2 linked regions of the Ovis aries genome follow. The protein of the gene in region 1 purifies or fractionates together with the protein of each later gene. This does not show direct contact. Links are inferred from orthologs where the notes say so. Each region holds a gene or a part of one and is shown on either strand. Other genes may lie near its edges. The genes, in order: ZNF462 and CBX5.

Evidence for each region.
Region 2: the proteins of ZNF462 (region 1) and CBX5 purify together in Homo sapiens (affinity purification with mass spectrometry; 3 studies listed by BioGRID and IntAct, counting the BioPlex papers as one, with this or other methods). This does not show direct contact. The link is inferred for Ovis aries from reciprocal best matches to the Homo sapiens genes ZNF462 and CBX5.

The regions. Positions count from the first base shown.
Region 1 is NC_056055.1:16,187,755-16,203,453, reverse strand, and holds part of ZNF462 (zinc finger protein 462), read left to right. Parts: intron 1-7,994; 5' UTR 7,995-8,021; coding exon 8,022-8,244; intron 8,245-9,414; coding exon 9,415-15,026; intron 15,027-15,699. UniProt on the Homo sapiens protein: Zinc finger nuclear factor involved in transcription by regulating chromatin structure and organization. Involved in the pluripotency and differentiation of embryonic stem cells by regulating SOX2, POU5F1/OCT4, and NANOG.
Region 2 is NC_056056.1:132,278,993-132,295,168, forward strand, and holds the start of CBX5 (chromobox protein homolog 5), read left to right. Parts: upstream 1-7,506; coding exon 7,507-7,640; intron 7,641-11,766; coding exon 11,767-11,953; intron 11,954-15,250; coding exon 15,251-15,351; intron 15,352-16,176. UniProt on the Homo sapiens protein: Component of heterochromatin that recognizes and binds histone H3 tails methylated at 'Lys-9' (H3K9me), leading to epigenetic repression. In contrast, it is excluded from chromatin when 'Tyr-41' of histone H3 is phosphorylated (H3Y41ph).

The sequences.
Region 1 (15,699 bases):
CTTATTATTTTGTTAAATCACTATACCATAGGAAGAATATGTATGTCATTGGTAATTATTCCGAAGTGTTATAACAGAACTCCTGCTAAATTTGGAGGGCACATGCCCATGTCTGAGTTCAAATTAAATCAAGAAAGTTATTTTATATCTACATACACATATGTATATATGTATGTATAGAGAATAAGCACCCTATGATACATGTGTGTGTATATGGGCATGCATGGGCTCTGGGGTGTGTGTGTGTGTGTGTGTGTGTATGCATATTATGTATTTACATTTGTAAGTATGATTCTATAACAACTGTTCCTTTTCCCGAAAGGAGGTTTTACCTCCATTTCTTGGAACACTCCTGGTTGGAAAGATGCTTTAAATGATTTTTAAGTTATTAGCACTGCCACTTGGACTATGACAAGAGTAAATGATAAGTAGTGATACACAACACACCTTGTTGCTGAAAGTAGCAACCCACACATGCAAGTGGATTCATGATTTTTTTCCCCTCATTTTTCAGCCTAAGCATGAAAATTCTTCTTTCTTCCCAAATCACGTTCCTGGGGCTTGACATGAAAGGTGCTAACCTCCCAAAACATCCCGCAGCTCTTTGACCTCATCATAGCAACAGTTTCTGATCTCAAATACATTTGCATTGTAGCATGATCTTTTAAGTTTCTGATTTTTCTGTCTTTCCAGCTGAACAGTTCCACAGTTTATGCATTCCACTACCTGACCTTGGGTAATTGGTTTTTCCATTCATAGAAAAGGAGAAAGTAAAAGCACAGACAACAGGTGGTCACTAAAGCCTTTTCTCAGAGTTATGATTCAGGAGAACTGGGAAGTTCAGTGTCTTATAAATGAAACTGGGTTTCTGGAGTGGACAGAGGAAAGGCATCTTACGGTGTTTCTGGTTCTATTTCTCAAAGGCTTTGAAGCATATAATTAGTTGCTCCTGAATCCCTGTGGCTGCAGTGCTTCACGGCTTTATTTCTGGTCTGCAGTCCTTCAGTCAGGGAACAGTGTAGGTCCAGACAAGGCCTGCACGTTTTCATGTGGACACTTCCTGGAGACAGTTGGGATTTTGATTGAAAATACTCATGCTGCATGCAAGCTTGGAGAACAGTGCTCCCCAGGCTGACCTGGGTGCAGGTTGGTGGTGGCAGGATTGTGGAAACAGCCTCCAGCAACCCAGGGTGCCTCCCTTCTCCTGTTGGGTCTGGGCAGTGAGTGGGGAAGACACAGCATGAACCCCTGGAATGTAACCTTTCACTTTCACAGGAGGAAAACAGAGGCATAATGGGCCCCTGGAAATTCTAAACACAGAACATGGTGGGCAGATGGTAGAAATTAAAATTGGTGATTTTAAAGAATTGAAGTATAGTTGATTTACAATGTTGTGTTACTTTCTGATATACAGAAAGTGATTCAGTTATACATATATATGTATAATATATTCCTTTTCAGATTCTTTTCCGTTAGAGTTTATTATAAGATATTGAACATATTTCCTTGTGCTGTACAGTAGGACCTTGTTATTTCATATATAGTAATTTGCTAATCTCAAACTCCTAATTTATCCTTCCCCCCATTCCCCTTTCCCTTTTGGTAACCATAACTTTATTTACTATGTCTTTGAGTCAGTTTGTTTGGTAAATAAATTGACAATTGCTGTTTTTAAGATTGAGAAAGAGCAGCCAGTGGCCATTCTTTCCATTTCCCTGTTCTCAAGTGTATATTCCCAACCGTTCACAAGATCTCTGGATTTTCCTTAAAAATGTCTTCAAGAGTTTATGCAACATGAAAGTTGGGTTTTGGGTTTTCCATCAAAACCCCACCGCGTGAAACACCCAGCCTATAAATGTAAAGTGAACAAACCAACCAGTGGTAATCAGTAGTACTGCAGAGTCATGGAAAGTTGGAATAGTCTAAGAGCCTAGATCATTCAGGTATGACCTAAATCAAATCCCTTATGATTATACAGTGGAAGTGAGAAATAGATTTAAGGGCCTAGATCTGATAGATAAGAGTACCTGATGAACTATGAACAGAGGTTCGTAACATTGTACAGGAGACAGGGATCAAGACCATCCCCATGGAAAAGAAATGCAAAAAAGCAAAATGGCTGTCTAGGAAGGCCTTACAAATAGCTGTGAAAAGAAGAGAAGCGAAAAGCAAAGAAGAGGAAAGATATAAGGATCTGAATGCAGAGTTCCAAAGAATAGCAAGAAGAGATGAAAAAGCCTTCCTCAGCGATCAATGCAAAGAAATAGAGGAAAACAGCAGAATGGGAAAGGAGAAGGTAGTGGCACCCCACTCCAGTACTCTTGCCTGGAAAATCCCATAGATGGAGGAGCCTGGTAGGCTGTAGTCCATGGGGTCACTAAGAGTCGGACACGACTGAGCAACTTCCCTTTCACTTTTCACTTTCATTCATTGGAGAAGGAAACAACAACCCACTCCAGTGTTCTTGCCTGGAGAATCCCAGGGACGAGGGAGCCTGGTGGGCTGCCGTCTATGGGGTCGCAAAGAGTTGGACACGACTGAAGCGACTTAGCAGCAGCAGCAGCAGCAGCAGAGATGTCTTCAAGAAAATTAGAGATACCAAGGGAACATTTCATGCAAAGATGGGCTCGATAAAGGACAGAAATGGTATGGATGGACCTAACAGAAGCAGAAGATATTAAGAAGAGGTGACAAGAATACACAGAATAACTGTACAAAAAAGATCTTCATGACCAAGATAATCACGATGGTGTGATCACTCATCTAGAGCCAGACATCCTGGAGTGTGAAGTCAAGTGGGCCTTAGAAAGCATCACTACAAACAAAGCTAGTGGAGGTGATGGAATTCCAGTTGAGCTATTTCAAATCCTGAAAGATGATGCTGTGAAAGTGCTGCACTCAATATGCCAGCAAATTTGGAAAACTCAGCAGTGGCCACAGGACTGGAAAAGGTCAGTTTTCATTCCAATTCCAAAGAAAGGCAGTGCCAAAGAATGCTCAAACTACTGCACAACTGCACTCATCTCACACACTAGTAAAGTAATGCTCAAAATTCTTCAAGCCCGACTTCAGCAATATGTAAACCGTGAACTTCCAGATGTTCAAGCTAGTTTTAGAAAAGGCAGAGGAACCAGAGATCAAATTGCCAACATCCGCTGGATCATGGAAAAAGCAAGAGAGTTCCAGAAAACATCTATTTCTGCTTTATTGACTATGCCAAAGCCTTTGACTGTGTGGATTACAATAAACTGTGGAAAATTCTGAGAGAGATGGGAATACCAGACCACCTGACCTGCCTCTTGAGAAATTTGTATGCAGGTTAGGAAGCAGCAGTTAGAACTGGACATGGAACAACAGACTGGTTCCAAATAGGAAAAGGAGTCCGTCAAGGCTGTATATTGTCACCCTGCTTATTTAACTTATATGCAGAGTACATCATGAGAAACGCTGGGCTGGAAGAAGCACAAGCTGGAATCAAGATTGCCGGGAGAAATTTCAATAACCTCAGATATGCAGATGACACCACCCTTATGGCAGAAAGTGAAGAGGACCTTAAAAAGCCTCTTGATGAAAGTGAAAGAGGAGAGTGAGAAAGTTGGCTTAAAGCTCAACATTCAGAAAACTAAGATCATGGCATCTGGTCCTATCACTTCATGGGAAATAGATGGGGAAACAGTGGAAACAGTGTCAGACTTTATTTTTGGGGGCTCCAAAATCACTGCAGATGGTGACTGCAGCCATGAAATTAAAAGACGCTTACTCCTTGGAAGAAAAGTTGTGACCAACCCAGATAGCATATTCAAAAGCAGAGACATTACTTTGCCAACAAAGGTCCGTCTAGTCAAAGCTATGGTTTTTCCAGTAGTCATGTATGGTTGTGAGAGTTGGACTGTGAAGAAAGCTGAGTGCCGAAGAATTGATGCTTTTGAACTGCGGTTTTAGAGAAGACTCTTGCGAGTCCCTCAGACTGCAAGGAGATCCAGCCAGTCCATTCTAAGGGAGATCAGTCCTGGGTGTTCTTTGGAAGGACTGATACTAAAGCTGAAACTCCAGTACTTAGGCCACCTGATGCGAAGAGTTGACTCATTGGAAGAGACTCTGATGCTGGGAGGGATTGGGGGCAGGAGGAGAAGGGGACGACAGAGGATGAGATGGCTGGATGACATCACCGACTTTATAGACCTGAGTTTGAGTGAACTCTGGGAGTTGGTGATGGACAGGAAGGCCTGGCGCGCTGCGATTCATGGGGTCGCAAAGAGTCGGACACGACTGAGTGACTGAACTGACTGACTGAACTGAGAGGTTTCACGTTAGGAGGACTAATCACATTAGGTGTTAGCTTATTTAGGAACAAACCCATATTCATCTGCCTGCCACGGCATCATCTTGGATGGTGTTGAGAGTCTAGTCTTCCGATGCCTGTTTGACCTTGAATTGTCTGGAGATATTGTGTTGGGATTAGGAGATGGGGGTGGGGGGTGCTTGTTTGATTTGTAGATTTATCTCATGACCTTTTGAAATAGCATTTCTTTCTAGTTAGTTCAGAAGCTTTCTCTGCTTTTGATTTTGCTGATTTGGTCAGTGGGAAAAAAAATATTACTAATAATCTCACTATCGCAGCTGTATTTTTAAATAAAGTAGATAGGAGATCAAGGCTGTTAACTTTAAATCATCATTTGGTAGCTATCAGTGTCTGGTTTAGCCTTTTAGGGTTGCTGTTCTTTCTGGGTTGATGAAACAGTCAAATATGCAGGAGCGTATTTCTCATCTTTGTTCCCATCTTTGTTGTTGGCTTCTCAGAGGATTACCATCTGCTGCAAAAACATCCTTGGGTTGATGAATGGGTCATCCTCAGGTCCAGCTTTCCTCCTCCTCCTCTCACTTCTTGCCCATGTGTCCGTCCTCAGTCTCATAAACACATCAAGTCTCTGTGTCTTTGATTGTTGAGGCCATGCTGGCAATTTCTGTTTTCTTCTTCTGTCAACGTCTCCAGGAGCAATATGTGCACAAAGACAAAATGCCTTTCAGAGGAGGCTACATCCTCATTTCAGGACATCAAATTGAAGGCCGTTCAGCCGTACCTGACGCTGGTTCTCTTGGCAGCCTGGAGATTAACCTCTTCCAAGGCTCTGCACTATTTTTGAGGTAGAGTCTGCAACAACATTAAAGCTAGAACCCATTAGGAAATCGCTTTCATCATCTCTTCTTTTTCCAAATCAGGGCCTTTTTTTTTTTCCTGATCTCCTAACCCTTTAATCTCCTTTGTAGCAGAACAAGAAGGCTGTTGATTTCTGTTTGCATCCAGTGAAGTCTGAATCCTTGATAACAGCTTTGGAAGACACCAAGATATTAGAGACCCATGTGGAGAGATGAGTTTCATCTCTGGGTGGAGGACTTAATGCCAAAGGTGTCCTGCTTTCCTTGAGCAGAACTGTCATTTTTTTGGTGGATGTAGTGAGAATGAGGCTCAAACTTTCCAAAAGACACACAGCAGAAAGCCTTCTGTTACATTATGTCTAAAGGCTTGAAGTTTTGAAGGGAAGAGATTTTGTTTTCCTCCCGGCTACACAATGGAGCTTTCAGAGAACCTCTTTTAAAAGGAATAGCTACAGCCTTTGTGTTGAAGGGTGTGCCTGTTGGCAGGGTCTGCTGATGCAGACAGACTGGCTGGTGATTAACAAAGGTCATTAGACTTTGGAATCCGGCAAGCAGAGTCGGATGGTATGTCTTCTGTGTGTGGAAGGACGACTCCCAAGAAGCCAAGGCATTCTGGAGGTTCCCCCCCTCCAGCACACCCCCAAAGGCTGCTGGAGAACAGGGTCATGTCCAGGAACGTCCTGCAGTAACCAGGGCTGTGCTGGGATGAACGTACCAGCCCATCAATCATGGGATAAAAGAACCTTCGGGAGATCCTTGGTGAATGACATGTGAGGAGGAGAAAGGTGCTGCTTTTTCGGGAAGGAGTGAAAACAGTTCCTTCTTTGTTGAGAGGAGGAGGGCAGAGGAGGGGCCCAGACTGCTCCTCTCCTGTTTCCTCTGCCTGTCAGCCTGGCAGCATCCATCCCAGAGAAGCCATGTTGTGCTCGGAGGGGAAGCTCTGAGCTAAAATGGCCGCTCCTAAAGCTCAGAGGACTAGGGCAGCTTAGTGAGTCTTAGAGCTTCAGTGACGCAGGAGCTCCTATCTCTTGAAAGTGTGATAAACACATTCAGCAGAGCTGTGGCTTGTTTGGCTGAGATGAAAGGACTAAGCTGGGGGGATGGGGAGCGCACCCTGGATGATCCGCCTTTTTGCTGTGAAGTGTTCTAAATGCAGGAGTCGTCTGCACTATGGAAAAATTTGTTTTCAGGTCTAATGGGCTCTGCGAAAAGGAGAAGTGGGGTGGGGCGTCCGTGTCGGCTGTAATTTGATCCAGAGCTGATAGCAACCTCTTCCACACAATTTGGGTTGGTGCTGAGACAGAAAAAAGCTGGTGTGGCCCGGAACATGGAGGCTGAGTTAGCTGAAAAGAAGTCTGGTGCACAGTTCAGGGTTTATTGAAAAAGGAGAAACTGCTGGGTGAAAGGAGAGAGGGTAGATAAGTGCCTCTCGCCCTACGAGCTCAGGCTGTCCAGAGCTGGACTTGCCAGGAGTTATTTTCACAGGCTATCAGCAGGAGCATTCTTTCAGAGAAAATCCTCCTGTCATAGCGCCTTTCACTACATTGACAGATTCCTCAACTTTATTCCTCTTGCAGAAATAATTGATCTTTTACAATAAAAGTATAGGAAGGTGCTAAATACGACCAAAGTAGTGAAAGGTTTGGCTGTGGCTTTTGTGCTTGGACATCTGGTTCTAGATTTCATTGGCTTCGTAGAGTCTGCCATGAGCTCAGTGAAGTAACTCCGTCATTAGGATAAGAACTGGGTATCTCAATTCAGGATATACATGAAGATAGGAAGGGCATGCCTTCTAATACATTTTTAACTTCTTAATGGTGAGTCTCTCCATTGAGTTTATGGGAAGCTATGTGTATCTTTCAGTCACACAGTAAATAGCAGGGCAGAAGTGGCCAGGGCAAGTTTTGCCTTATTCGAAATCAGCTTCCCAGCTTTTTATGCCCAAGTATGTACTTCACATTCATAAAGGGGAAAAGTGGAAAAAGAGGAGGTCCTGCCTTAAAAGCCCTTCTTCCAAACCACATGTGTTTCTGTTGCCTTAGTGTGAATTGAGGGACCAAGGTGCAACTTGAAACTAGAAACTGGATTGTCATCTAGAGTTGGTTGTTTGAGAATCTCATGAGAAATATTTTATGACCTAATTAGATTGGAGAAGCTGTTAGGTTATAATTGGTAGGTAGTAAAAAGCAAATAACCATTTAGCTCATGAAAAAAAAGAGAAAAAAAAAACCCTGTGTAGGAAAGGGAAGGAAGAAGGAGGTGTATCTTAATATCAGTTAAGATAGTAGAAGAATGAAAAGTATAGTAAAAGCTTTTTCCACTGCTACTCTGAGGTTCCACACTGTTTCACCATTTGCTGGTAAAACATTGATGTTCTTGTATTAAAACTGCTAATGAAGATTGAAGTTTACTCTTTCTTCTATATGGGCAGTCTCTTTACTTCTGAGAAGATTCCGGTTCAAAAAGAAAATAGGTCTCAGCCAGAATCAAAGTCAGTATTAACTTACCAAGAAATCTGAAATCAGTCAAGACATTGAGAAACTACGACAACTTTTGAAGTATTAAGGGTTTTTGTGACAAATGGCATTTGAAGATATATGAAGCTAGAAAAAGTTTATCTTTTTTTTTTTCCTCCTTTCTTTGAAGTTATGATGTCAAGGACACCATTCCTATTATGTCTGATTTCCTTTCTTTGACCACTGTTGCATCTGGCAAAGTCCAGTGAGAGAAATTGGCTGATACTGGAATTCCTCCATTAGTGGACTCATAGCCCCACCAGCTTGGGGGTATGCAATGAGTGCAGGCCTTAAGACGTTTTGTTCTGCCTTCTGCCCCAGGTTCCTAATGTGAGAGAGTAGACCCAGATGATGGAGGTGCTTCAGTGTGATGGCTGTGACTTCAGAGCCCCATCTTATGAAGATCTCAAGGCGCACATCCAGGATGTCCATACGGCATTTCTGCAGCCGACGGACGTTGCTGAAGACAATGCGAATGAGTCACGATCTGGGTCCATGAATGCCAGTAACCAGACAGAGGTGGAGTTTTCATCTATAAAGGATGAATTTGCAATTGGAGAGGACTTAACAGGTAAATCTGTCCTAGGATTGATGCGTCTGGTGTATTTCACTACCCTCATCTATTTTGAGCCTATAGCTGTAGTTCTTTTTTAAAATGTTTTGACAGGAAAGTAGGGTTTACTGGTGGGCATGAGTAAGGAGGCGATAGCATCAAGACTCTAACGAGTGCAGAGCCCGCCATTTGTCCAGAGGGCCACCATAAGGGGTGTATTTGACCCCACCACCATCTGGGATGAGCCACTTTTCTGCACCATATTTCCAGATTCGTCTGCAGGAAACTTAGTAAATCCCCACTTCCTGGAGGAGTGGCTCTTCTAGTGGCCTGGGAACTTGAACTTGGCCCTGTGGAGGGCCTCAGTCACATACTCCTTGTTCTACAACTTGATATGAATGGATATTATGACTTGGCCAATGTGAACCCCGGCCACTGTGTCTTGGGGCTTTCTAAAGTCCCAGCACATACCCTGTCTGGAGCCTGGCTTGGGGTTGGCATGCCAGTCAGGAATGTCCCCTGGAGGGGACTGTCCTCAAGTTCCTTAGAGCAACCTGTATAGGCAAAGGCTGTGTACCCTACTGAGGCAGCTGTAGCCATGGTTCTTGACATGCACAGCTCCTACAAAGTTTCTCGCTCCTTGTGAGCCATTTTTCTTTTCTCTTTCACTGCACCATACAACTTGAGGGATCTTGGTTCCCTGACCGGAGATTGAACCTGGGCCATGGCAGGGAAAGTATAGAGTCCTAAGCCCTGGAGTCCCCCTTTGTGAGCCATGTTTGTGATTTGGGCATCATGTTTCTCTTATTGAGTAGCCCAGGCAATAGTCCTTTCAGCTTCCTTATGTCACTTCGCTTCCTTTCAACTTGGAGCATAAGGTAGTATCTTGGAAAGTTCTAGAATGAATATCGCAGTTTGTGAAACTTGCACAGCTCTGTGGCGCATAGAGATGGGGGGAGTCTTGCACCTGAAGCCGAGCACTGCCTTCCATCCATGAGAGGCAACATGTGGATGTTCATTAACACCGTTACTACTCTTCAGGGCCTCATCTTGAGATGTTAGGCCTTTTGAATGTGATGTTTATTAATGAGGAATAATTGAAAAGCAAACTGGATTTGCATGATTGAGTTTCTTGATTTGCTTTTGCTTTGCTCTTCTCTTCCCACTTACCTTATGCTTTCTCTTTAGGTCAAAATGCAGCCGCACTGGGGACTGGAAGTTACTATGGCCATAGTCCAGGATATTACAGTCAGCATATTGCCCCTAATCCCAAACCAACAAACAAGTTTTTTCAATGCAAGTTCTGTGTACGCTACTTCAGGTCAAAAAACCTCCTCATTGAACACACTAGGAAGGTCCACGGAGCTCAAGCTGAAGGGAGTTCAGCCGGACCCCCTATTCCAGGATCCTTAAATTATAATATCATGATGCATGAGGGATTTGGAAAGGTCTTCTCTTGCCAGTTTTGCACATACAAGTCACCAAGGAGGGCAAGAATAATTAAGCATCAGAAGATGTATCACAAAAACAATTTGAAGGAGACCACTGCTCCCCCCCCTGCCCCCGCTCCAATGCCAGACCCGGTGGTCCCACCCATGTCCCTGCAGGACCCCTGCAAGGAACTGCCAGCAGAGGTTGTGGAGCGCAGCATCTTAGAATCAATGGTCAAGCCACTGACCAAGTCTCGAGGCAACTTTTGCTGCGAGTGGTGCAGCTATCAGACTCCCCGCCGAGAACGCTGGTGTGACCACATGATGAAGAAGCACCGCAGCATGGTCAAGATCCTGTCCAGTCTCAGGCAGCAGCAAGAAGGGACAAATGTGCCTGAGGCGCAGAACAAGAATGACCTCAGCCCCACTTCTAACTCCACCTATTTGTCCATGAATGCTGCCAGCCGGGAGTTACCCAACACTAACGTCTCCAACTTCAGGGGCTCTATCGGCAACTCCATCATGAGACCCAACTCTTCTTCCACTTCCAAGTTTTCGCCCATGTCTTACTCTCAGATGAAGCCGAAGTCACCTCACAATTCTGGCCTCGTTAACTTGGCGGAGAGATCCCGTTACGGAATGCCCGAGATGACCAATTCTTCTGCTGACCTGGAAACTAACAGCATGCTGAATGACTCCAGTTCTGATGAAGAGTTAAATGAGATAGACAGTGAAAATGGCTTAAATGCTATGGATCACCAGACAGTAGGCATGTCTGCAGAACAGCTGATGGGCTCAGATGGCAACAAATTATTGGAGACCAAGGGGATCCCATTTAGAAGATTCATGAATAGGTTCCAGTGCCCCTTTTGTCCTTTCCTCACCATGCATCGACGTAGTATTTCCCGTCACATAGAAAACATCCACTTATCTGGAAAGACAGCCGTCTACAAATGTGATGAGTGTCCGTTTACTTGCAAGAGCTCGTTAAAACTTGGGGCTCACAAACAGTGTCACACGGGTACCACATCAGATTGGGATGCTGTGAATTCCCAGAGTGAAAGCATTTCCTCCTCGCTGAATGAAGGTGTCGTGTCTTACGAGAGCTCAAGCATCAATGGCAGAAAGTCGGGGGTCCTGTTGGATCCCTTGCAGCAGCAACAGCCGCCCCCGCCTCCGCCTCCACCGCCACCACCACCTCCGTCACAGCCGCAGCCGCCGCAGCTACAGTCGCCCCATCAGGTGCCACCCCAGCCCCAGCTGCCCCCGCCGCCTCCCCCGCCGCCCGCGCAAGCCCCACCCCTGCACCCCTACAAGTGCACCATGTGTAATTACTCCACCACGACTCTGAAAGGGCTGCGAGTTCATCAGCAGCACAAACACTCTTTCTGCGACAACTTGCCAAAATTTGAGGGGCAGACCTCAAGCCTGCCATTGGACAGCGAGACAGACAGCCACCCCTCTTCCAGCAACACTGTGAAGAAAAGTCAGACCTCAATTCTTGGGTTGTCCTCCAAGAACAATTTTGTCGCCAAGGCCTCTAGGAAGCTCGCTAACGACTTTCCACTCGACTTATCGCCCGTGAAGAAGAGGACCAGAATTGACGAGATAGCAAGCAACCTGCAGAGCAAAATTAACCAAACAAAACAGCAGGAAGATGCGGTGATCAACGTGGAAGATGATGAGGAGGAAGAGGAGGACAATGAAGTGGAGATCGAGGTGGAGCTGGACAGGGAGGAAGACCCACCGGAGCCCGTCCTGGAGGTGCCCACGCCCTTTTCTGCCCAGCAGATCTGGGCGAGAGATGCCCCTGAGCCCCCGAAGGAGCCCAACTTCAGAACTGTTGCTCATGACTACAATGCCACCAATGGGGCTGAAATAGAGCTCACCCTTTCGGAAGATGAAGAGGATTATTACGGCTCCTCCACCAACATGAAAGATCACCAGGTTTCCAATACGACTCTGCTCAACACCCAGACTCCGATCTACGCAACTGAGCACAATAATGAAAATACTGACTTCAGTGACTCGGGAAGGCTTTATTATTGCAAACACTGTGACTTTAACAACAAATCTGCCCGGAGTGTCAGCACCCACTACCAGCGCATGCACCCATACATTAAGTTCAGCTTCAGGTACATCTTGGACCCCAATGATCACAGTGCAGTGTACCGGTGCCTGGAATGCTACATCGATTACACCAACTTTGAAGACCTGCAGCAGCATTACGGCGAACACCACCCAGAAGCCATGAATGTCCTCAACTTTGACCACTCGGACCTGATCTACCGGTGTCGGTTTTGTTCCTACACAAGCCCGAACGTCCGAAGCCTGATGCCACATTACCAAAGAATGCATCCCACCGTGAAGATTAACAATGCCATGATATTTTCGAGCTACGTGGTGGAGCAGCAGGAGGGGCTAGGCACAGAATCCCAGACGCTGCGGGAGATCCTGAATTCGGCTCCGAAGAACATGGCCACGTCCACTCCCGTGGCCCGTGGTGGCGGTATGCCAGCTCCGTTCCCCAAAAACACTCCTTCCAAGACCTTTCCTCCAGAATGTGAAAATCAGAAGGACCCCTCGGTCAACACCGTTGTCGTGTACGACTGTGACGTTTGCTCCTTCGCGAGCCCCAACATGCACTCTGTGTTGGTTCATTATCAGAAGAAACACCCAGAAGAAAAGGCTTCCTACTTTAGGATCCAGAAAACCATGCGAATGGTGTCTGTGGACAGGGGCTCTGCCCTTTCTCAGTTATCATTTGAGGTGGGTGCTCCAATGTCTCCCAAAATGTCCACCATGGGTTCCCCACCCCCCCCACAACCCCCGCCACCAGACCTCAGTACTGAGCTTTACTACTGCAAACACTGTTCCTACAGCAATCGGTCAGTTGTGGGAGTCCTTGTCCACTACCAGAAAAGACACCCAGAAATAAAGGTTACTGCCAAATATATCAGACAGGCTCCTCCCACAGCTGCAATGATGAGAGGGCCGGAGGGGCCCCATGGCTCCCCCCGGCCACCCGCCCCTATGCAACAGCTCAACCGGAGCAGCTCCGAGAGAGATGGCCCTCCCGTGGAAAATGAGATGTTTTTTTGCCAGCACTGTGATTATGGGAACCGGACGGTCAAAGGTGTCCTCATTCATTATCAGAAGAAGCACCGAGACTTCAAGGCCAACGCGGATGTGATCCGGCAGCACACAGCCACCATCCGAAGCCTCTGCGACCGCAACCAGAAGAAGCCTGCCAGCTGCATGCTTATCTCCCCCTCGGGTGTGGAGCGGGACAAAACAAAACTGCGAGCGCTCAAGTGTAGGCAGTGCTCGTACACCTCCCCTTACTTTTATGCCCTAAGGAAGCATATCAAGAAAGACCACCCTGCCCTGAAGGCCACGGTCACGTCCATCATGCGATGGGCATTTCTAGATGGCTTGATAGAAGCTGGCTACCACTGCGAGTGGTGCATCTATTCCCACACAGAGCCAAGTGGCTTGCTCCTGCATTACCAAAGGAGGCACCCCGAGCATTACGTGGATTATACCTACATGGCCACCAAGCTCTGGGCAGGGCCAGACCCGTCCCCTCCCTCTCTTACTATGCCAGCTGAAGCCAAAACATACAGATGCAGAGACTGTGTTTTCGAAGCCCTCTCCATCTGGGACATCACCAATCATTACCAAGCATTCCACCCTTGGGCCATGAACGGGGATGAGTCGGTGCTGCTGGATATCATCAAGGAGAAAGATGCCGTGGAGAATCCCATGTCTTCCTCTGAAGACCTGGTGGGCCCTGTGAGTTGTGAAAACAGTATGCCCGGCCCGCTCCCTGAGCAGGAAGCTGAATGCCCCGAGGATGCCAGGCTTTCCCCTGAGAAGACGATCCAGCTTGCCTCAGCGAACCCCGCCATCTCCTCCACCCCATACCAGTGTACAGTGTGTCAGTCTGAATATAACAACCTGCACGGCCTTCTGACCCACTATGGGAAGAAGCACCCAGGCATGAAGGTGAAGGCTGCCGACTTTGCCCAGGACATCGATATCAACCCCGGCGCTGTCTACAAATGCAGGCACTGCCCTTATATCAACACCCGCATCCACGGGGTCCTGACCCACTACCAGAAGCGACATCCGTCCATCAAGGTGACCGCAGAGGACTTCGTGCACGACGTGGAGCAGTCCACCGACATAGCCCAGAACGACGTAGAGGAGACGAGCAGGATCTTCAAGCAAGGGTACGGCGCCTACCGCTGCAAACTGTGTCCCTACACACACGGCACTTTGGAGAAGCTCAAAATCCACTATGAGAAGTACCACAACCAGCCGGAGTTCGATGTCTTTTCCCAGTCGCCCCCGAAGCTGCCCATGTCCCTCGAGCCCGAGATAACCACTGAAGTGAGCCCCTCCCAGGTCTCGGTGATGGAGGACGAGGTGGGAGAGGAGCCCGTGTCCACGTCTCACTTCGCTACCTCGCACCTCGTGTCCCACACTGTGTTCCGCTGCCAGCTCTGCAAGTATTTCTGCTCCACGCGGAAGGGCATCGCCCGGCACTACCGTATCAAGCACAACAATGTGCGCGCCCAGCCCGAGGGCAAGAACAACCTCTTCAAGTGCGCCCTGTGTGCCTACACCAACCCCATCCGCAAAGGGCTGGCTGCCCACTACCAGAAGCGCCACGACATCGACGCCTACTACACCCATTGCCTGGCGGCCTCCAGAACCATCAGCGACAAGCCCAACAAGGTGATCATCCCGTCGCCACCCAAGGATGACTCCCCGCCACTCAGTGAAGAGCTGCGGCGCGCCGTGGAGAAGAAGAAGTGCTCCCTGTGCGCCTTCCAGTCCTTCAGCAAGAAGGGCATCGTGTCCCATTACATGAAGCGCCACCCGGGGGTCTTTCCCAAGAAGCAGCACGCCAGCAAGCTGGGGGGCTACTTCACCGCGGTCTACGCCGACGAGCACGAGAAGCCGATGCTGCTGGAAGATTCGGAAGAGAGAGGTGGCTTCGAGAAAGCCGAGGTGGAGGGAAACGAAGGGCAGGACATCGAGTGGCTCCCGTTCCGCTGCATCAAGTGCTTCAAGCTGTCCTTTAGCACGGCTGAGCTGCTGAGCATGCACTACACGGACCACCACAGCCGGGACCTCAAGAGGGACTTCGTCATCCTGGCCGGCGGCCCCCGGCTGCAGGGCTCCGCCTACCAGTGCAAGCACTGCGAGAGCAAACTGCAGAGCACCGCCGAGCTGACCTCGCACTTGAACATTCACAATGAGGAATTCCAGAAGCGTGCCAAACGTCAGGAGAGGAGGAAACAGCTTTTGAGCAAGCAGAAATATGCAGATGGTGCTTTTGCAGATTTCAAACAAGAGAGGGTAAGGATATGTTTTGATTTCCCTTCCCCCAGGAGGCCTCTCATCACTGGTGCCCACATGCACTTCTTCGCTGCCAGCCAAACCGCTCCAGGCTTCCTAGTGACTTAGCTTGCCAGAGAGCTCAATAAGTCAATTAAACATTTCGAGCTTGATTATCTCCCCCATTCTCTGCTCACCCTTCTCCACAGCCCCGGCCCCCCTCCCTGTGGTCCCTCCCAAGGCTCCCCAGGGGAGGGTTGGGTGGTTTTCCTGTATTATCCGAGGCCTAGTTCACGACAACGGCTCGCTCTCTTAACCAAGGCAGTTGTGGGCCATCTCTCGTGTCCTTAGTGCTTCTCAGCCACGCCTTGGTTTGCAATGTCGGCTCCACGAACCAGACATCTCCAGGAGTAGATTTTTGTTTTTCTTTAATTTTTTTTGGTCAAGAAGTTCACTCATGGCATAGCTCATGCAACGTTTCACCTGCGTAGTTGAACAATGGGTTTGAAAGCCAGATAACTGGGTGGCAGTGACGATGAGGCTTCTGCACCGAGAACTTCTCTCCTTACAAGTCATCACCTATTGGGGTTCCGGAGACTTTGCGTAGTCGGCAGCGCGCCTCGCCTCTGATGAATTCATTATGTAAAAATGCTCGCATATATCTCCCTTGGTTTTTAACCTGCTAATCTGCTGT
Region 2 (16,176 bases), on another chromosome or scaffold:
GAATGTAAATTGTTAGGCATGGTAGAAGCTCTTCCTTCAAATAGAAGTGAAGTGAAGTGATTTGAAGTCCCTCAGTCGTGTCCGACTCTTTGCGACCCCACGGACTGTAGCCTACCAGGCTTCTCAGTCCATGGGATTTTCCAGGCAAGAGTACTGGAGTGGGTTGCCATTTCTTTCTCCAGACTTCAAATAGAGGATATGTTGAAATGACCTGAAGAAGCCATTGTAACTCTTAAGCTGCTGATAATCAAAATCTGTACAAGCTAGATAAGTGTGAATCTTAAGTTTATGACTATTTGAGAAATGCTTTATGACTGTAATTTAATTGGGGATGGGTACTTCAGTTCTCTTTTAACCCCTCCATATTTTGTGAACATGATTTGCCAAAGTGGTATGTAAAAATCTGAGGTTTGCAGTCATCTACTCAAATGGTACTCTTATCCATTTTTCTTAAAATTTATGGAGAAATTGCCAGGTTCCTCATGAAAGGTGACAAGCTCTACTAGTTCATGCTTCATCATATTTAATTAATAGAGAGGAGTGGGTGTGAGATTAACACTCGCCAGAAACTATGGTGCTTTGAGAAATTCAGTACATTCCAAGGATAGAGGTGTTCAGAGGCACCATCTGGAAGACATTTCCCCTTAGTGGTACCAAATTCTACTTTCTCTTGAATCGAGAAACAATTGAATAGCTAACCTCTTGCCCATGATGGCTTTAGGTGTGCCCTAACTAAATTTAGAGAAAGCAGACACTTGAGAGATGAAACACTGTAGATTTGAATATAGGAAAAAAAAAAATCCCATGTAAGATTATTTTGTGGGATTGTGATCTGGTAATGAGATATCAAGAATGTGTGTGTTACTGCTAAATATACCAATGAACCAAACATAAAACTGAGTTGTTCTGAGAACTGCTGTAGTACACATTCATTTATATTTTTTAATGGGGTCAGAGCTTAGAGGACAATACAATGAAATGTATAGGGTAGCCTTTATCTCTATTTATAATGTATATGTTTTAATCTAAAAGAAGAAAAGACTCTTTACTCCCTTGCTTGCTGGTACAGGAGGGTTAGATAATCAGCAAATAGGATACTTTGCCTCAGAATAATTCTGTGACTGGTGGAAGCAGCGCCTTGGCCTGATTTTTAAAGGATGGAGAACTGGAACTCCGCTGGTCCAGAGAGAAGCATTTCCTCTCTCCACACTCCTCTCTATTAATAAAGTTTGTGTTGCCTAGATGTGGCTTGTTAATGATAGGGGTGTTAACGACCACAGTTAATCTTCCTCCTCAACTCTTTCCTAATCCAGTCTCTTAAATAGACATTTAAAAAGCTTTTAACTCCTCTTGAATTGGGTGCTCATGGGCTTTTGGTGGAGGTGAAGTGATAGTTATCAGCCCATTTAACAAAACCTGAGACAGCCAGGACAGCTGTAATGTGCATCTCTATGCTGTGTTTTTGTTAAGATGCCACATGGCTAATACTTCGGAAATCATAAATCTAGTGGAAGAAAACATCTTTATAGAGGGTATTTTAGTTTTATGCTGTATGTGTGGCAAACCTAAAACCATTGGTACTTCTAGATCTATAAAGAGCAAAGAATACAGACCAGATTAAAATGGTTCTGTAAATTTGGTTTCTTTTCATCTGTTTTATTTGCTACCATAGGCTATAAAGAGGACGCCTTGAAGACAACGCTGTAGCTGACAGTTTAATCTTCACATAAGCCAACAGCTTTCCCCAAGGGCCTTAGGGGAGACTTGGGAGTTTCTCAAGCCTGGACCAACGGAAGTTGCCCATCAGTGGCATATTTAATTAATACATGTGAGAGGGACCTTTGCATATGCCCTCACCCTTTTCTGCTCTTTAGAATGACTTTTTTTTATAGAAGATTTGCGTTCCTAGTGTGCTTATAAAATTTATGTTAAAATTGTATAAAAGAGCTCATTGATTAATGCATTTTGACACTTGGTTTGACTACCACTGCCAGATAGTTCAGCAGGTAGTTCAGTGAGGCAACTTAGCAATTGCTTTTGTTACTTTTTAAACAATACAAAGAAAGCTTAGAGAAAGACTTAGAATTATTATATATGTGTATGTGTGTGTGTGTTGGCTGCCCTGGGTCTTCACTGCTGCACACAGGCTTTCTCTGGTTGTGGTCAGTGGGGGCTTCCCTTCTTTGTGGTGCGTGGCCTTCTCATTGCAGTGGTTTCTCTTGTGGAGGAGCACAGACTCTAGGTGCACAGGCTCAATAGTTGTTACTTGTGGCTTCCGGGCTTTAAAGTGTGGGCTCAGTGCTGTGGTGCGTGGGCGTAGTTGCTCTGCGGCCTGTGGAATCTTCCTGGACCAGGGATCCAACCTGTGTCCCCTACATTAGCAGGTGGATTCTTACCCACTGCACCACCAGGGATGTCCTATTTTTTATATATATACATATATACACACACACACACATAAATATATATACATATACACTGTGTATACATATATGTATATACACATATGTGTATGTGTGTGTATATATATGCTTTTGCTTGTCAGTTGTCGTGAAAATGCAAAAGCCATCAGGACAACTGACATTGAAAAGTAGTGAATGGAGGGATTGGGCAGAGTACACAAACCAACGATCTCATGTGAGTGGTTCTCTGCTTCCAGTATTGATCTGTTAATGCAAACAGTTAATCATGACATCTGTTGTTCTTCTGCGTTGCCCCAGCTTTCTGTGATGCCCTCTCTAATTTCTGGGGACTGGCAGTTTTTACTTTTTTTGAAATCTTCTTTTACCCTTACAATGTGTGGGATTTTTGGGTCCCGCTCTGCTTCACCTCCTCACCTCTTCCCGTTTTCTCTTTTTTTTTTTTTTTCTGGAAGATTTCATCTGTTAAAGAAGTTTCCTGTCATCGACTTGGAATGTGCATTCTGACTGCCTGACCGCAAAGGTCTTTGATGTTTGTCCAAGGCTGAATTCTCACCAGATTCCCTGGCTTAGGTGTTTTCCCCCAGCACACAGGGGCCTGCCTGCAAGGTGAATTTGCCTTGTGTCATTGATATGAAGGGTGGGTGGGGCCTGCTCTCTTTCGTGATCTGATGGGCAGTTAAATTGCTGGACTCTGTCAGTAGTTGTTGATGCCTTTACCAGAGAGTTCCTGTGTGTGTTCAAGAAAAGGCTGAGATCTGTTATGTCTGAAAGACGGGACTTGAGAAGCTCACCGCTTCCCATGGAGATTTCCATAAGGATAATAAGGTTGTGCTCAAGAGGCTCGGCGTCTCTTCCTCCGGCATGGTATTGGGATTCTACCTTAATCTCTCCATCATCCTGCCAGCCATGTCTCATTTCTCACGCTGGAACACTCCCTCCTCCCAAGCTCAGCGTGAACCACCAGTCTAGATGCTTTATCTGGTCCAGGCTCTAGCCCTTAAATTGTCCGTCTGGCTTTGTGTTTCATTTGACCCTAATACACTGGGTCGCACTGTCTAAAAGAGAATTATGTCCCCTCCGATGTCTGAGTGCATTTCTCATTTCTTACTGCTGCTCCTGAGCAGATCTGTAACTTCAAGGTTAAGATAAGACACATTCCATCAGAACTATGTCGTCATCCTTGCTAGCTTCTGATCTGTGACTGTCCAGGAGATTTACAAGACAATTGCATGCCATTCTTTACAGAATATTATGGTTGGACTCTGACTCCTGGCATCAGGCCCAATTTGATTTGTCAGCTGTTGCAAAACCCATTTCCCAAAGAGAAAAGGATCTTAGCCATGTGCCTTTTAAGCCAGTTCTTAAGAGTGGGACAGAGGGAATTGATCTGGTTCTTCATTTCCTGATGTTTTAAGGAGAAAGATGGAACACCAGAATGTTTTTGTCCCTTTCCTCGTTGGATTCCCTTATTTTCCCTGAAAGGTTTCACTAAAATCTTAGTATTGCTGTCATTCTTTCCTGTCCCTTATCCCTTCACAGAACCTGTTTTTTCATTCTGCAGTCTCCAATGTTTTCCTGAGTTTTAAGGAGTAAGAATTTTGCCCTTGAGAGAAAAGGTTACCTGCCTTTTCTCTGAAAGTGTATTGGTTTACTAGCAGCAGGTTAACAAAGACAAGGTTCCCCCTTTCTTGCTCTCTAACATGTGGAACTGCAGGAGTTACTGCATGTAATATGGCTTAATGGCTTAGGAATTTGGAAGGTCACGTATTTCCTGCTGCTGTTGTATTAGGCCCTGTAATATTTTATAAAAGCTTCTCTTGGGGGACTTAACAGCCTCTGGTTTCAACATAAACTCACCCTTTCCCTTGGAGGTAGGCAGTGGGGATTTATTTGGCCCCCTTTAGTGATTCTGAGGTTAGACCTAAAATTTCTTTACTCAGGATCACACATGGCAAGTTAATCACAGAATCACAACTCTGATCTAATTCCTTTGGCATTATTTTCATATCCCTTAACTACAAAAAGTTTTTAAAAGTTACGAAGAGTTGAGAAAGGCAGATTTTACTCAGATTTCCTGATGAGTCTATTCAAAGTTGAAGAAATTCTCGTAGTTGAAAACTGCCCATTGTGCTCTCATTCCCTACAGTTTCTTCTGTTTGATAGGCAGAATAATCACCATTCTTTTTTTTTTTTTTTTTTCCCCTCAGTCGGGTTCTTGGCTTTTGATTGTCCCTTATTCATACTCTCTTGTGGCAGCAGCCTTTGTCTCTAAAAGACTCATATCTGTAAAGAAGAGAGCAGAGTTGTGGAGCTCTCTAAAATGTTAAGGCCGGCAGAAAGGAACATTCACAGGACTGCAAGTCTCTTAAGTCTCTTTTCTTTATCTCAGTCCTCCTTTTCTCAAGTATTAGGAATTTTTAATACACGAGGTTTTAATTATTATATTATATAATTAATGTTCCAAGTGGGTAATTATTTTAAAAATTTTTTTTATAATATTACAAAAACAACTAATGAGAAGTGGTTTTCAATTAACAGTAATGGTTGTGAGTGGACTGTTCCTTCCCTTTTTTAAAACTACTGGAGAATTAAATTGTTTTCTATCTATAATTTCAGTTGAAAGAGTCTTCGGTAGTGCTTCAAGTCTCTAGATTCTGTTTCTGAATCTAGTAATCCCCCAAGAAGGAAAGTTGTATAGTATCTTTGAAATACTTCTCCCTTTCCTGTTACTCCCTGCACCTCCCCCGCCTCCCAATTTTAATTAACTGTTCAGTGACAGATGGTAGAAAAGACCTCGCCTAAAGTGTTCCTGGTGGGCTGGATTAGGGGGTCGGTAGTTTGTCCTGATCTTGTTGTAGAAGGATCTAGCCTTTCCCCGCCCCCGCTTCCAGTTGAGCGATAATCCTGTTATATCTTAAAATGCTATTGATTAAATTCCCAGTGCTCTTAGAGAAATAAGCACAAGTTCTGGATTTAAAAACCCAAGAGCCAATTCCCTGGAGCTCTGAATGCCTTAGACTTGAGGCCAAGGGAGGTACCTTCCAACTTCTCCACCCAGCCTTCTCTGAAAAGGAAAGTTAAGCCTTTTAACTTTTCCGTTTGCTTCTCTCCCCCCCTTAGTCTAGTAAGGCTGCCAGTTGCCATGGCAACGGACTGGGACAGCTGCGCAGTGGCGCCTAGGCAGCTGGGTGGGGGCGGGGGAGCTGCCAGCCCGCCAAGCCCCAGACCTGGGAGGGGAGGCCCCTCCTGTTAGCCCAGAGGGAAAGAAAGAACTGGGGCGATCCGGTAGGTAAAGGAGGGAACCCCCATTCATCTTCTGCCTTTGGGGCTCCTCTTCTGCATGAAGGTATAAAGGGAGATTGTCCTCTTTCCTCCCTGAAACTGAAGAACACATATGTAAATCCTTGTTTTTCCTCGTGAGGCAGGGGAGGCCATAGTCACAATGCTTAACTGCATGCATCTAACCCGGGGCTGGTTTTAACCCTGGCGCTCTGACCTAAACTGCTCAGCTCCCGGAAATTCCAAGGTGAGTGGGGGTGGGGTGGGGTATTCTCCCTGGAATAGGACATTTCCTGTCTCTGGTGAGGTTGGAGGCTGCTTTTATTTTAAATAAATCAGATTTTTTTTTTTCCTTGAAGCTAAAGGACTCCCGTCTGAATTCGTGGAAAAATTATTTTGAAACTCCTTACCTTACGTTCCCCACACTCCCACTCCCTCATCCAAATGAAGTATTTTGCTAAAAACATACAGACAGTTTTTTGGGTGGGCAGACCTATTGCTAGTAAGTTCTGGAGGTATGATTTACAACTATATATTCTTGGAATAATTCCCTAAATTTTGCTAGTTTGAAGTAAATTGATTAATGCAACTTTTTATGGTACTCAAAGACAAAATTCTGAGATTAGTAGTGACCTTTCCTGTTCCTGGGGTGGTCATCTGATCAGAAAGAAAATGTTTTTAGAATGCTGAAAAAAAGCTTTAAGGTTTACAGCAAAATAAAATGGAGTTCAGCTAAGAAAACAATCCCTGCTACTCTATAATCCAGACTCTAGGCACCATTTAACATGGTTAAGGAAGAATTCTTAAAAATGATTGTGCTGACAACAAGGAGGGAATTTAAAACACTAGAGTCTCTGCTGCATACCCCCTGGTTGTGCATGTTTCTGAGCTTAACTCAATTTCCATTTGTGTTGCCTTGCTTCAGCTTTCCTTGGGCCTATGAATGGTTCTTCTGTGTTTGGAGGCTTCATGTTGCTGTGAGTCTGGGACCAGACCTCTTGTTTTCCTCCTCCTCTTCCTTTGGCCCAAAGTCAGCTCCAGTTAAGAGGAGAGGTACCTCCTTAATATTTGGATTAGTTGAGCCTTAAGAATTACCGAACAGCCCAATGACTAGTTTTGATTTTTAGGACTAAAAAATATTTTTCTCCTCCATGCCTCCCTCCGATCCCCAAATGAAAGATGAGGCTTAATATATTTGAGGTGTCAGCCTTGCTTTTGTGAGCTGATGGGTGCTCTGAAGGGACAAGCTCAGTTTGTTGAAGGGAAATGTACCGAGTCACTGAAAATGTGGTGAAACATGCCCGAGCAGGCCTTTTTTGTCCTGTTAAGAGACTGTTCAGGATGCTCAGAGCAGAAGAAAGTTAGATTTTGCTGGCTTTTCTTTTTTTTCTCATTTTTATAGAAAATCTTATTTAAATGGAAGGTTTTCCATGTTTCTGTTCCAGTTTATGACTTGTAGACAGTCGTAGAGGTACCAGGAGTAAAATACCACCCTACTTGTTTTATAGACTCTGAAATTAGAGTTAGATAATTGTGCCCATCTAATAATTTTGATCTTGTGAGCTGAAGAGGAAGTTGTAATTAAGAAAGTGGGGACCTGCCCATTTTTGGTTACCTTCTTAGGACTCATCTGTAGAATGTTTCAAGACCCAAGAGAAAGGTACATGGCAGCTTTGTGTTATACCTGCTGCATCCCATTGAGAGACTGAACATTTTAACTGCTTGCATGGATTCTGACCATTTTTGTCCTTCCCATTTGCAGGAACCCGGTGGCCTTAGTCCTTCAGGTGAATCAGCGTGAGACATGGGAAAGAAAACCAAACGGACAGCTGACAGTTCTTCAGAAGATGAGGAGGAGTACGTTGTGGAGAAGGTGCTAGACAGGCGTGTGGTTAAGGGACAAGTGGAATATCTACTGAAGTGGAAAGGCTTTTCTGAGTAAGTACTTTCTCTCATGCTTTGGGACTCAGGGAAGTAGACAGCTTTGGTTCATTTCCCTGTGAACCATCACCATCTTTGTCATATTCTTTCCTCGCCTGCACTCCTTTCTAAGAGTCGCAAGACACAGCAGTGAACTAAGCAAAGTCTCCCCTTCTTGGAGCTGATGTTCTAATGAGACTGCTTTTGAGAGGCAGTGTAATGAACTGGTTAGAAGCATAGATTAGGGGCCAGATTGCCTGCGTCCAGATTCTTGCTCCCACCACTTACAGTATGAGCTGGGTGACCTTGCTGAAGTTCCTTAATCTTTCTTCCTCAATAAAATAGGGATAAGAAATAGTATATATCGTAGAGATGTTGGGGAGATGTATAGAGTCAGACACATAAGGTCAGTGTACGTGTAAACTGTTGTTGTTATTTTGGATGTAACGAAACTAAAATACATACATTTAAGTAGAAGTTGTAGTTGATCCCATAGCGCTCCATAACGACCCTTGGCCCTCAAAAGTGTCCTAGGATGAAACACTCATCTTTGTTATTTTTTTGTAACACTCATCCTAATAAGATAATAAGAGACTTAAATCTGAGACCCAATATTTATTTTTAAAAATGTAAAATATATATATATAACTGACGCAAAAGAAATTGAGTGAACACTCAAATACATACCACCTCATTTCTACAATAACATTTTAATATAATCTTTATTCCTCAATCTGTCTTTTTTACTATTAAAGACCTTAAAACCCCTCTTTTACGTCAGTGAGCTTTAAGAATGATACTGAAGTGTTGAGTATTCAGAGTTAGGCAGTAACTGGCTTTAAGTGCTGAAGTAAATATACACATACTGAAGCATAGAAGAGGTAGCTTGAAAAGTGAATTGCATGAAGCTGTGTAATCATTAGGCATTTTGCCTTAATTTCTCATTAATTCTCTTCCCAGGATGCCTGATAACAAAGAATGGATTTCTGTGAACACCAGTGAGCTGATAGGAACTGGTTTAGGCTCCTAGGAGTATTCAATAGGAATGGAATGCAAGCCAGATGTAATTTTAAATTTTATGGTGACTATATTAAGGAAAAGTGGAATTAATTTTAATAATATATTTTATTAGACACTCCCACCAAAATGCTATTTCAAAATTAATACAAAAATTATTAATGAAATTTTATATTTTCATGCTAAGAATTTAAAATCTGTTGTATATTTTTCATTTTGTAGCACATCTCAGTTCATGCTAGCCACATTTCAAATGTTCATTTACCATATGTGGCTAGTAGTTACCGTATTAAACATCGCAACTTAAAAGTGTGAGACTTTAATAAAAGATTGAATGCTTTGTCAGTCCCTTTGGACAAAGGTATGATCAGGAGCCTTTGGAGTATAGTTAAGGTTATTGTGGGAATCAAGTTTCTCATCTGGAGCATTGTTGGTGTTTTAGTTGGGACAGTTCATGCACTGCAGGATGCTTAGCATTTGTAGCACAGAGAGAACTAAATGTGGGTAGCACAGCAGTCAGAATGTGCCCTCCATGTTTCTAAAGAAGCATGGTATCGCAGCATCCTCTAGAGTTGAGCACTACGGATTTGAGAGGCCTAGAGCATCATGAGATAGGAATTAAAATACACCTTCAGGAAGGGGGCTTCCCTGGTGGTCCAGGGGTTGAGAATCTGCCTTGCAGTGGAGGGGGCACTGGTGTGATCCCTGGTCCAGAAAGATCCCACGTGCTTCGGAGCAACTAAGCCCTGGGTACCCCAGCTACTGAGCCAGCGGTTTAGAGCCTGTGCTCTGCAGCAGGAGAAGCCAACGCAATGAGAGACCTGCAGACCGCAACGAAGAGTAGCCCCTGCTTGCTGCTGCTAGAGAGAGCCTGAGTGTAACAGAGAAGATCCACCACAGCCAAAAATAAAATAAATCTTTAAAAAACAAAAGTACACCTGAAGACTTTAAGAATGTTTATTTGACCCATTGAATCATCACTGGAAATTGTTGGGTATTTTTGAAGAATTTGAAGACTGTGTAGTTGAGCTATTGATACCTTACATAGATAAAAGAGGTAAAGAAAAGATTTAGGGTAGATGGATTAACATTTGTCCTGAGTTTTTCAAAAGTATCCAGAGTTTCATTAAAGACTGAGACAGATTGTGCCCCTTCAACACTGTCCACAACTGAGTACCTACTGTTTGCTAGGCAGTGGTTATATCCTACCTCATGTGTTCTCTGTAATTCTCATAACAGCCTTTAGAGGTATTTACAGATGAGGAAATTGTTTACTAGAGATAACATACCTGATACATGCTAAAACAAGGATCCAGCATCACATTTCTTTGGTGCTAAAATGCAGATTCTTAAAAATAAATAAAACTAAATGCAGATTCTTTGTAAGTTATACCATGTTATCTTTTGGGTGAAAACTGATTGATGTAGAAACAATACTAACCTGGTGGGGAAAGGGATAATCCCCTTAGAAGATTGGCTTTCCTTGGTGGCAACAGAGATTCTTCTCCTACCTCTGCATCTTAGCTTGCTTACTGTACTACAGTGTTGGCATGCCTCTTGGTTTTTGTGCCTTAATTTCTCCTGGGATAGTAAACTATATATAATCTGTGAATTTGGGAGAAAGTTATTGTATGAGGATTTTTTTTTTTTTGGCTGAAAGAAGAGCTGTGAGGGAGAGGCTTTCCAGTTTTAGCTCAAATGATTTAGAAATAAACTTTGTTTCATTCTTAAGCTCTTTTTGCAGAAAGCTGAAGTCTAGAGTAAATAGCTCAGATTTTTCCATCATTATTAAGTTATAGCATGTGTTCAAACCATTCTTATTTAAAGATACTACATCGTTTTTGTTTTTTAATGAAGTATCTAAAATAAATAGTGCATAAATGTAAAAAATATTTCCTAAGTCAGTGAAGGGATTATAGAAACTGTGTCTGTGATATGTGTACAGATATATCTTAATGTAGCTAGTTCTTAATGAAAGAACCTCTGCCACTGGCTAGGAGTGAAGAGGATGCCTGGTCTGGTTTTTCCCAAAGAAGATAAATTTCTTGCTTTTATTACATAACCTGCTCTTGGTATTAGTGATTTGCACTTCTAAAATCCATGCTAGAAATACAGAGAACAAGTTTGTGAATGCAAACTTTATTTTCCTCATAGAAGGACTCCCCTTGATCCGAGTTTAATTAGACACAGTTATTTAACTTGAATTATTTTTGCTTATTAATATAGAAATGCATTTTGATTACCTAGTGACAGTAGACCTGAATCCAGAGCAATGAATGAATGGGCTCCAAATCCCAGTTTTGAGTCTTTTCCTTTTTATGGTTCGCTTATATTCTAATGATTTAACCCCTTACTGCCTTTTTTTCTAATTAACTACTGAAGTCTTCCATCAATTTGCTGGCATTTCTTGGAAATATAAGTAACATAATTAAGACAGTGTAAACTGGAATGCATTTAGAATTAGATTGTCCTCTCTCCAGGATTTGCAAAGATGATGTATGAAATCACATTTGCCACTTACAAAGCAGAACTTATATTTGAGTGTTTAACAGGTTTATTGAGCCATAGTTTACATACCATAAAATTCATTTACTGAAAGTACACAATTCAGTGATTTGTGGTAAATTTTTAGAGCTGTGCCGCCTTCAGCATAGTCCAGTTTCAGAACATTTCCGTAACCTCCCCAAATTCCCTTGGACATTTTTGTATTTAATTGCAAGCCCCAGCCACAAGGAACGACTGATCAGCACCTGTTTATTTTAGCTTAGCACAGTCTAGAAGTGCTTCCGTGTTGTAGCATATATTAGTATTACGTCCCTTTTTTGTTGCTGAATAGTATTTCATTGTATGGATATACCATGTTATGTTTATCTGTTCGCCTATTGGCAGGCATTTGAATTGTTTTCTGTCTTTGACTCCTAAAATGCTGCTATAGTTGTGTGCAAGTTTTTTTGTGTGTGTGTGTCTCAATATATTGGATAGATTCTAGAATCAAATTGATTATCTCCTTTAAGCATAGGAATTCTATTCCCTTTTTGCCTATTTGTCTTCTGTAAAGTAAGGTATTGGATTTCCTCCTACCCCAAAACTTCTTCATTTCTTTCCTTTTTTCTCCATTCTTGCCCAGGGAGCACAATACTTGGGAACCTGAGAAAAACTTGGATTGCCCTGAGCTAATTTCTGAGTTTATGAAAAAGTATAAGAAGATGAAGGAGGGTGAAAATAACAAACCCAGGGAGAAATCAGAAAGTAACAAGAGGAAATCCAATTTCTCAAACAGTGCTGATGATATTAAGTCCAAAAAAAAGAGAGAGGTAAGCTTCATTTCTCCTCTCCTTCCCCCCCACCCCCCACTCTTCTGCTTCCTGTGCTTCCTCCTCGCTTCACCCAAAAAAGAGGGGCACTGTTTTGGTTGTTTTTATTCTAGGGATGGCCTATACGGTAAATTGTTGAACACAGGAGCTCCCCGGGGAGTTTTGTTGATCCACTACAGCGCCCCCTCCTGGCTGAGTAAGAAATGTACTATGTGTCCACTGAATTGTGTCAAGGTGGCAAAATTAAATCCCTGTAAAACATTCAGCCACTCAGTGCCTTTTTTGTGAATAGGTGGCTGAGTTGTCTTATGGAGAGTCTTCAGTGAATTTTTTAGGGATAGAAAGAAGCTTTAAAATATCTACTACTTCACTTTTTTCTTTTATTCCAAAGAGAGCACTTAACTTTAACCCTTTATATTCTTTCTTTTTTAACCAGGTGAAAACACATAACATACAACTAACCATTTTATTTTTTTTTTTAATTATTTATTTATGGCCACACCAACACATGTAGGATCTTAATTCCCTGACCAGACTCAAACCCATGCCCCTGCATGGGAAGTGCGTAGTCTTCACCACTGGACTGTCAGGGAAGTCCCCAGTTAACCATCTTAAAGTGAACAGCTCAGTGGCATGTGTAGTCTCTCTTGATCCTATTGTATTTTTGCATTCTTCAAATAAATTACTTTTCATCTTCCTTATGAATATTTTTATTGTTCAGTTTTTGAAAATGTGTTTATGAAACTTTGGTTTGATTCAGTTATTTTAATCCTTCTGATATATAGCTGTTAAGTAACTAGCCATAAGCACTGTTCCTGTCTTTTTTTTTTCTTGTCTATATCTTTTCCATGTGTGCACATGTGTCTCCATCACCCCCCACAGCTTCCATTCCTTTCATTAATTTCAAGGTTGTGAAGTCTTTTGTGGTGAAGGATATATCATACCCTTAAAGTTTAATAAAATAAAAGTGTAAGTCTGCTTCTGAATCTTCTAGCATCCCTGCCATAAGCATCCATATTTATCTTCATTCTCCTTGGATACCCGTCTTGCTAGAGCATTAGTTCTCAGCCCTGGCTGCATATTAGACTCATGGCAAGGGGGGCAGGCGGGTGTTTCAAAAGCCTCCAGTATTGCTGTGGAAAAAGAAGCCTCCGGTGCCCAAGATGCACTCCAGACCAATAAAATTCAAATTTCTGTGGGTTGGACCTATGCGTTAGTATTTTCTAGAGACTTACACAGGTGATTCCTGGTCTCCAGAGGAGAGAAAATGGGAGAACAACTTTCCAAAAAGAATTGAAATAAGAATGAAAGATTGGAGGCTGTCAGTGAAAGTGGACGCTAGTATTTTGTTTGTTTCCCTGATTAATTTTATTTTTTGCAATCTTATTTTTTAAAACTCCCCTGTTCTGGTGAGGTGTGTATATCATTATGATATAGCATACTAGTAGATAATTTGAAAATGCCTTCCCTTCTCTAAGGAGCTAAGACTTGGGTCTGTCTTTCTGTTTTACTTTTTTATTAGTCCTTTGTATTCTGGTTCTTGTCATTTGATGCATTTTCCAGCTAAGTAAAGAGACCAAGAAACAACACAGCATGACTTCTGTAGCCGTTTTTGACATTCAGTGTGTATTTCCTCAACCTAACGTTTATGTCCTTTTAAAAAGGAGCAGTCTGGGGGTGGGGGGGGGGGAGGAGCAATCTGACTTTGAGACACTGGCCAGTGCAGAGTTTGGTTCCTAGGCCAGGATGCTGGCCTTTTGATGCTGCTGACCTTGAAAACCACCCCCACACACACATGTCCCTTACATTGTAATGTTCATCTGGGGCCCCTGGCAGCATTCTCAGCAGTGCTGATGGCTGTCATGTAGGCAGCTGGTAAGATAGGTGATTGTATATTTTAAAGGTGCAGGGGGGGATTTCGTTTCTTTCTTTAGACCACTGCAGAGGAAATTTGTTAGTCGGCATTATGCCTGATTTAAGATTACTGCCTGTGTGATGATTTTAGCATTTTCCTCGCCTCGGCTCCTTTTCAGCTGCTTGAACATTTTTCTTCTCTTCCCTCCCTATGTGGCAAACTGTTTTCAGCCGCCAGCTATGATTTACGACTTGGTTGCTGTGCCAGCATTCCAGCTGTGAGCAGCTGTGTGCACATCTGGGACCCTCCTCCCTTTAAGCGCCCCCAAAAGAGGCTATGCTTTTGAGCCTGTATGTCCCCTGATTCATGCATGGGGTTTCCTGCTCCGTGCGGGTCCTGGTATCTTTGGGACCACCTGGATGCTGAAGGCTTTGTATCTCTCAGAAGAAAGCAAGGTGAAAGGCAGATCAGAGATTTTAGCATGAAAATCAGACATTGGCGATTTAGTTCATTTGGACAGTCTAAGTCTTTTTTGTGTTACCATTAGATAAGCTGGCATTATCTTCCATAGTAAGGTTGTTTAAATTACCTGGTTTGTATAAAATTTCACCATTTTGCTCTCACCAGTGCCATCGAAACGGAATCAAATCCTATGCTCCTTATCTAGATTGCATGATTGCAATTTGACCAAGTTTGAATAATCCCCTACAGAATTTTTTTTTTTTTAATCCCTCTCCAGTTTACTCTATAAAGCTAATGACCTATCTCCATCAGGAGGGGACAGGCACAGATCAGGACCTCTTCCCCAGTTCATGGGGATTATAGTATGTGATCTCTGAAAGAAATTTGCTATCTTATGGTAGTTCTTTGAATCCCTTCTTAATCTTAATCATTGTTCATTTGTAAGTACAGATGGCTATGTGTAAAGAAGTATTAAAAATACTGGTCAAAAAAAAAATAAAAATAAAAATAAAAATAAAATAAAAATACTGGTCAGTATTAGGTGAACTGAAAGTCCAGAGAATAAACTCCAGATTGAGAGGTGGTATAGTTGAAGTTTATAAAATGAAAAAGGATTTAGTTCACCTGGACTTGTTTAGCATCTGAGAAGCAAGTTTAAGGATATTAGATTAGGGGATGAGAGGAGTTCCTAGATGATGACTCCAGAATATTTAAGGGATATTAGCAGTTTTAGGGGCTACTCCCAGGCCTTTGATGAAATACTAAAAGGACAGCTGCATCTTCCTGCAAAGTAGCTCTTAGCATCTCTGTTACTGGCTGACCCAGTATTGTATTTCTGCAGTTCTAAGAACTTTATGAATTGAGTGACAAATATGATATCCAGTAATATTAACTTAGGTTGTGTTTTGTTGAGCTGAGAAACAGGAAGGTTTTCTACTCTTACCTCCAAGCCATAACCTTTCTTCATCTTCTGTTTATAGCAGAGCAATGATATCGCTCGGGGCTTTGAGAGAGGACTGGAACCAGAAAAGATCATTGGGGCAACAGATTCCTGTGGTGACTTAATGTTCCTAATGAAATGGTGAGAGAGATTGGGCCTCCCTCTGCAATTGTGTTTCTTTGCAGTGACTTGAATTCATATGGAAGATAGGGAGGGAAGACTGAGTACTCCCCAGCTAAGAATTTTGATTGTCAGGGATCTAAATTTTTAACTGATACCAGCTGTCAGTATTAAATGGGAATTACGGTTCAGAGTGGATTTAAGATTGTAAAACTTTGGTATTAAGCCAAATTACATTAGCCCACATACCAGAAAATGGTAGAATTGAGGTAGGAAACATATAAACATGACCTAACCATTTATTTACACAGTTCTGAATCGTTTACCGTTACACCATGAGCCTGTGGCCATGGGCTAGAAATTGAGTGAGGCTTTCTGCCACCACTGAAGACCAAGACCGCTGAATAATGTATAAAAGAGAAAAGTAATCTTAACAAAAAGCATTAAGGATAATACTAGCCAAAGCACAAGTTATTTCATCCGGTAGAGGGAATAGCTTTAGAGGAAAGTGTAGTTGCTTCCCCTCAGCTTGGTTTCTTAAAGTCAGAGTGATTTATGGTGCAGCCCCCCTGCCTTTCTGTTTCCAAGTGTTCTGACTTGTGATTTAAGTTGGATCTCTAAATAGAGGGTTCCTGCTACAGTGCCACTAAGGAAGCTAATTACCTTGAAAGTTGGATAGTCAGGAGGTTTAACATTTTATTTGATCGAAATTTTGCTGGTAAATTACCCAGAAGCCTATATTTGAAGAATCACTATAATCTGTCCAAAGTCAGGAGCTGTATTGCCTGCTCTTCCCACTTAGCCATATGTGGAACTTAACGATTTACATTCACATATTAACTAGCT